2 linked regions of the Bombyx mori genome follow. The protein of the gene in region 1 interacts with the protein of each later gene in a pairwise test. Links are inferred from orthologs where the notes say so. Each region holds a gene or a part of one and is shown on either strand. Other genes may lie near its edges. The genes, in order: LIM and senescent cell antigen-like-containing domain protein 1 and ras suppressor protein 1.

Region 1 (3,255 bases):
CCAAATGCGAGAAACCATTTCACGGCCATCGTCATTATGAAAAGAAAGGCTTGGCCTACTGCGAACAACATTATCACCAGTTGTTCGGCAATTTGTGCTACGTCTGTAATCAAGTTATCGCCGGCGACGGTAACTATTCGATTATTTCATTTAAAATTTAATGATTTCGGCATGTGATATGATGAGGTTTCATAATTGTCTGTATTGTATTGGTTTATCGTTTAAGTACACTGTTCTGCGTAATAAGTAAGTTGTGTTAATAAATATAATTTTTAATAAAGAAAACAATCGAAAATGGCCAAGTGGAGTACACGCAATAGTTAAATTTAATAAAAATCTTTGTTTTTTAACTAAGTTTAATAATGCTTTAATATCGTGCGGGCTAATACTGGAAAAAGCCTACTGAGTTTCTCGTCGGATCTTCTCAGTGGGTCGCGATTCCGATCCGGTGGTAGATTTTGCGAAGCAACGTCGTCAGGTTAGAGCACCTATTCGCACAGTTAAGTTGACATAACCTCACGAGATTACCAGCATAAGTGGTAAAAGAACGGGAAAGATTTCTACACATAGCTGTTGCACAAAATAAGTTCTGAACACAATATTTGTGTTATTGGTTAATAATCATAAACGTTTTTATAATATCACAATTCACTTAAAAACTAATTATATTCAGTGTGATTTGAAATTATATCTTGCTTATTTAGCTGATTTTTTTATATTATCGAATGAATATATTCTTAACTTCTTAAAAATTTGTGTGCTAGTATGTATTATAATTATGAAGGTTTTAATGTGAATATAATATAGGTTATATATCACAAGTAACATGTTACACATAATATGTAACTTATTGTGTTGTACTGCTGATTGCTACTTCAATAACACAAACTGGTCGAATCAAAAATATCTATTTAATTTACCATTTTTTTTCTTAATAACTGTAATTTTATTCGTAGTATTCACCGCATTGAACAAGGCTTGGTGCGTACATCATTTTGCGTGTTCCGTTTGCGATGCGCCGCTGAGCACGCGTAGCAAGTTCTACGAATACGACGAGAGGCCCGCCTGTAGACGCTGCTACGAGAAGTTCCCGGCTGAACTACGACGTCGGCTACGTCGGGCTCATCACTACACGGTCCGCCGTTAACGAAAAATACAAGGAATAAACGACATTAATCTGTCTATACCAGTGGTGGGCAAACATTTTTAATGGCGGCCACAATGTTTAGGAAATACTAGAGGAGGGCCAGAATTATAGAAAAATGTTTTTTTTTCTCCAATAAATGAGATAATGAAAGCTCCAATTCGTCAGGGGTGTTTTGAGGGGAGTTTTGAAAAATTCGAAGATTTTCAATTATAAACGTCAGATTTTATTTTACGCGCCAAACTGCCGACTAGAATATTTGGGACGGACGGACTCTCGGCGGGCCGGATTAAAATACTTCCGCGGGTCGTACTTTGCCCATCACTGGTCTATACTATACTAAACCACTATACCACAGTAATGTCGGTGTTCACATTTTTTTAACATAATTAACTAACAAATTTAAAAATATAATAAATGTAGTATGCACTTGCCATTTGTGCCTTGAAGTACCTACTATGTAACAACTAAACTTATTAATGTAATATATTAAGTGTAAAATGTAATAATTAATTATTTTATACCATACAAAATATAATGATTATGAATGTTGTCTTTACTCGCACTGATCATTGACGCGTTCGCTATTTTGTTCAAGTGCAATGGATTTATTTATTGATTTGACTCCTTTAAAAATATTATTTTGAAGTCGCTCTTATCTATTTACGACCAGATGAGCTATAAGTCAATTTAACTCTATTGGCAATAAAAATGTATCTGTTGAATGTGCTTGTAAACTATGTTTTGAATTAAGTCAAAATATCAGTTTGGTCACGTGAACCTGAATTTAAAAGCACAAAATATAAACGTAGAACTATTTCTAAGTTAACTATTTATATTAATGAACTCAAAAGGCTTGGCTTCATAAGCCAAAACGGAAACAAATCTGTAGATATTGTACACTATATGAAGATTATTAATATAAATTTTCGATGATTTTTATAAACCAATTGAACTGAATATTACAGCAAATGTGTGGTCAAAATGACGAATTTGGATCTAATTATTTTTTAATATTAATTATATAAGATTATCTTAGCCAGGGACAATGACAGTGACAATCAGACCGATATAAATGATATTTGAAAAACCCTCTGAAATGATAAATATATTTCAAAAAATTATATTCATTCCATTTTGAAGAATGCTACTTTTGACTATAATATGCTACTGCATTGTATATTAATGTCACGTTTTTAGCATGCCTTACATTAGACGAAAATTATGATTTAAAAGAAAAAAGAAAACTTGTTTCGCACCCTTTGTAATATTGTTTTTAACCCTTTTAATGTATAATACAGATATTTTATAATTTAATTTAGATCTAAATATTTATGTAACACCAAATAAAGTTTTTTACTAACACGTTATTCTTTTGATTATTGTACAATGCACGGGATTAGGGTTTCGTCAAGTTACCAAATACAAAATCAAAATTTTGGGAAGTTTTGATTTTAAGATTCTAATTTGTAATTTATTTTGTTATAGACAGCGTGTTTAGTGCGACTTTTTTAACGTTCTCGCATGTAATTAGTATGGAGTTGGAACGTTTGTCCCTAGCGGCAAATTTATGTTACCTTTTACGCTATCGAGAACGTTAAAACACTCGCATTAAGCACATAGATAGGCTATATTGTCATTTTATAAGTGGTCGTTGTTGCTCATGAACATCAGCAAACAAAAGGGTAATAATAAAAATAAAATCATTTATTGTCTTTCACATTAAATAGAATAAAATACAAGAAAAATAAAAATTAAAAAAAAGACAAAAGGAGGTGGCTCAGCTAAGGCTGTTCAAGGTCGATAAATCGAACAGCGCTGATTATCCACAATACGAGGTTCTTTATTTTAAGCTATTGCATAGCTTTTTTTAATGTTTAATATGGCGTGGTCTTGTTTTAATATTAAATTATAATTGCATAAGTTGATAAAAAATGCATACCGCGGCAGTTCCCCAGTGCCACACGTTTGTTTTTTTTTTATTGCTTAGATTGGTGGACGAGCTCATAGCCCACCTAGTGTTAAGTGGTTACTAGAGCACATAGACATCTAAAACGTAAATGTGCCACCCACCTTGAGATATAAATTCTAAGGTCTCAGTATAGTTACAA
Region 2 (4,442 bases), on another chromosome or scaffold:
TATAAAAATAAAAGTAGTGCCAACCCTAGCAAATTTCTCATTTCGTCCCAATTAACCGCAATTTTCGGGTAAATAGGGATTACACCTATTTTTGCATTTTTTGCTTAAACTGGAATGCTAGTTACATAATTTTAAATTAGACAACAAAGATGCCCCCAAGACTCAATCATTTTGATCCTGATATAGCATTATATACATCAACAACTACCTTAAAATTGCTCATAAAGTTGGAATTTGTCCCTAATCGCCCCATTTTACGGTAATCTATGGGTGACACTATGGTGACACTGCTATGTAAGTAGGTATGTACGTCTAACGTCAATTTCTTTTTCTTTCTTGGATATTGTACAAGGCAAAAGGAACGCAGTCTATACAACTAAACTTTAAAAAAAAGACCGAAATCATATCTGTTGAATGAAAGAAAAATTAATCACAAAGATATCAAATTGATGAATTAAAATAACCTCCCAATAAATTCTAAAAAAGTTTGGAAACTCAGTAGATTTTTTAAGAGAACTCGAGAACCATCGATTTTATTTCTCGCATTTCGTAAATTCGAGCATAGTTATTGTTACCATAATTATCAAAAATGTTTAAGTGTAAAGGCGGCAGATAATGGCATGGAATGGTCCGTAATAAGCTCTTGTTGCGAGGAGGTGGTCACGACCCTCAGTATTGAGGAAACCGAAGCAAGAAGAAGAAGAAGTGTAAAGAAACTTCAAAACCAACGAAATAATACAATTCGTATAGCCTCTTAGTATACTCTCGACAAAATTTCCCCCGTAAACTTTAATAGGGGTTTGATTTATATAAATAATGTTGTAGATTTAATTTTTTCAGGTCTAGCTAAATTTAATTCTGTATGTCTTCTACCATTATGAAATGAAATTGATATTTATTAAAAATGTTTTGTAAAATGTACATAAAATGTAAACCCATCGAGCCTATTTCTGTGGTGAAGCAGAGCATTCTTATTTAAAACATGGAATAGCTGATAGTGCCCAATGCAATGATAACATTTTGTCTTAAAGTCGGCTTCAATGGCTCAATTAACCTTGTAATATCCATGGGAGAGGGGACAAACAATTATACCAAAAATAACTAGAAAATTTACTAAAATAACTAGGTATATGTACGACTTTTCTTCATTTTTTTGTCAAGATCAAGAAGCAACAACTTACCAAAGCAAAATGGTATAAATTAATGTTCCAGAGCGTTAATTATTCATTCTTCTAACATATGTTAGAAAGAGACAGACATAGAAAGAGAAAGAGAAGAAACGAGGGAAATAATCATTTCAAATTTGAAAATTATTACAATGTAAAAAATAAAAATACCATAAATGTTAAAATATATATAGTAAGAAATGTCTCAAATTCTTGATCATGTTTAATCTTTCTTTCGTAAAGAGGCGAAAGCCCTAAAAGAAGAAAGTAGTGATTGATTTTTCAATATTTTTCATCTTTTTGTAGTGATATTCTAACAGTCTATCGGGATATTTAACAGACTACGATATATAAATATATTAGACAAGTAATACCCGGTCAAATAGAAAATATTATGGTAAATAAAAAAAAAACAGGATTTGAAGGTTGATGCTTAACAATGTTAATTTTAAGGTTTGAAACGCGATTGTTGTTTGGGCGTAGGAAAACCATCTGTTTGATAATGAGTCATCAACCCCCAGTATCTTGTATTCCAAACACAGGCAAGATGTCGAAAGCTAAAAAAGTTATTGAAGAAGCCAAAGAAATAAATAATCCGGAAATCGATTTAGTCGACAAAGGAATATCTAGTCTCGAAGAGATTCCAGGCTTATGTGAGTGTCAAATAAAACCTGTTTTGTATCTTTTTTTTTTAACTAAATATTTTTAGTTCGTTTCAATTTTTACATCTATGTTTCAATAAAAAAGCTTAGATCGAAACCTAAGCTTAATGTATACTTTCGAATTTTAATTTATTCTACAGTTAGCTAATTTTAAAAACTAATAAATAACTGAAGTATTCTTACAATAAGTGTATTCGCCTACATAACCGTTGCAACTCATCTATAATAAATATTTTGAAGACAACAAACATGAAATATTAATTTAAACCTCATTTGGATGTAAATTCTCCAATGTTAACATTATATTAAACATAATAATATGTAATATAAGGTAAAAAATTGAAGTACTAATTAAAATATGACATCACTGCAGACCTATAATTCAAAATGAAACTCCTACGCCTTAAGACGGAACAGGATCAAACTTACGCTTAAAATAAGCCATGAAATATTGAAAAATGTTTGCAAGTTCCACACTACATTAGAACCATCAGTCTACTCAGTTATGGGTTTCAAGAAACTATGTGATTGAATGTACTGATGAAGAAATAGAAATAAAAGAATAACATTGCAGTGCTTTATCTGAAGGAAACAAACATCTTAGTGTCTTATGTGCTTATTAACCATTTAATATTAGAAGATTTGTGCATAGGGCCCACCTAAAGGCAATTAGTCACTGTTGTGCATGTGCTCAGTAATTATAGGGCAACAGCCATACTGGTCCATACTATTGAGCACTCCACAAACCTCATTTGAAGTAGAACAGGAAGGAAGGGAAAAATGGTGGAGGATAATTTATTCTAAAGCTGGATACAAAATAGCAGGAAATATGTCTGGTAATGCATTGTGGATGAATGCAGTGGTACCACATAGTATATTTGAATTGTGTTCTTGTGGTGGGCAATACAATAGTAAAAAGTAAATGAACAAATTCTTAGAGCACTTTCCAAGGAGCATACAGTACAAAAAACAGAGACAATTTACTTGTTTAAGACAATTTACTTTAGAGGGAATTCCTTCTGTAAACCCAAAGACTACAAATTGTCTATGTGAATAATATTATCAACAACATGGCCCTCTTTTGTATAGAAACAGATGGTTTGACCAGAGATGTGAGCAGTATTCCATGTGTGTCCGAACTTGTGCTTACAGATCAATGTATGATAAGAAAAAAGTTATGTAGCCCAAAGTATACAATGAGAAAACTATTTCTGTGATGACTTTGTATGCAAATATTAAATTCAAATAAAAATCTACCCAAATCTATTATCTTTTACAGTTTCTCTGGAGAACATCACTCGTCTGTCCCTAAGCCACAACAAAATCTCTGTAGTGCCTGCTGCACTAGCCAACTTGAGCAACTTAGAAATTCTAAACTTGGCCAATAACAACATTCAAGAGCTTCCAGTCAGCTTATCATCACTACCCAAGTTAAGGATCCTCAATGTTTCATTAAACAAACTGTATAACTTGCCAAGAGGCTTTGGTTCCTTCCCTGTGCTAGAGATATTGGATCTAACATACAATAATTTGAATGAAAAAGTATTACCTGGGAACTTCTTTATTATGGGTAAGTTATTTAAAATCATTTAAAATCACTAACTCTATTGGTTTTCTCACCCAGTTGAATATTCGTCTCTGGAACAACTATTGAACACTTTATCTCTAAGTACAAAGGCTATAGTGTGAATCTTTTTTGATGTTGATAGCAATAATGGATGTAGATGTAGGTCAAAATTTGTATGGTAGATAATTGGCTCCACCTAGTATCAAATGTGATTTGATACCTGCAATTCCATAGATATACATCAAAAGTTTACTATACAATTACATACATCTCACCACCAATCATGATGATTGACTAAATAGTACTTTTAATTCACTATTCACAGACAGTCTCCGTGCTTTGTATTTGGGTGACAATGATTTTGAATTTCTACCACCTGAAATTGGAAATTTGAAGAATCTACAAATTGTAAGCATTCTTTTAATCATTAGTCAAACTTTTAATTTACCCATGATTAGTGAGCTTTATAGACCACTCCATTAAATAACCTCTTACAGACCTGAGATATTTGAGTCTGCTACCTATAATATCTAAACTATAAGCGGAAATTGCATCCAAGCAGCATGCTGATATATACTACACAGACGATGGCACAATGCACAGCTTTCGTCGCCCTAAGCGTGTCAGATCCTTCCGATCCAATTAGTGTTTTAGTTCTAGTTAAACTTCTTGAAAAGTTCCACTTGTAACTTAACCTATAGACACAATCTGCTAAGTTTTCGCCGGATCTTCACAGACAGTCACAATTTCGATACAAGTATTAACAAGTTCGGTTGAGCCTGATGAGCTCATGTGCCAAAACGTACATAGCTGAATTAGCCCTTCGAGGCGAGCAGCGATTAATTATGGAAAAAACAATGTTATTGAAGAAGTTGGTAATGAAAAATACACAATTGGGGGATATCATTGTATGAAAATAGATTGTCTTAAAAATATCTATTTTTAATATAAGACCAAATCTTGTTTTTTATTGTTATGTTTCAAGAGAATTTTCTTAAGAGTGCTATATTTAGTGAAGGAATTAATAGAAGCTGTTTTAGTTTACAA

The links.
Region 2: the proteins of LIM and senescent cell antigen-like-containing domain protein 1 (region 1) and ras suppressor protein 1 interact in a two-hybrid assay, tested with the Caenorhabditis elegans proteins (2 studies listed by BioGRID). The link is inferred for Bombyx mori from reciprocal best matches to the Caenorhabditis elegans genes unc-97 and rsu-1.

The regions. Positions count from the first base shown.
Region 1 is NC_085112.1:7,031,595-7,034,849, reverse strand, and holds the end of LIM and senescent cell antigen-like-containing domain protein 1, read left to right. Parts: coding exon 1-129; intron 130-956; coding exon 957-1,147; 3' UTR 1,148-2,509; downstream 2,510-3,255. UniProt on the Caenorhabditis elegans protein: Component of an integrin containing attachment complex, which is required for muscle development and maintenance. Probably function in adherens junction.
Region 2 is NC_085115.1:769,748-774,189, reverse strand, and holds the start of ras suppressor protein 1, read left to right. Parts: upstream 1-1,621; 5' UTR 1,622-1,668; coding exon 1,669-1,819; exon of another isoform or gene 1,820-2,107; intron 2,108-2,201; exon of another isoform or gene 2,202-2,513; coding exon of another isoform or gene 2,514-2,664; intron 2,665-3,107; coding exon 3,108-3,398; intron 3,399-3,720; coding exon 3,721-3,803; intron 3,804-4,442.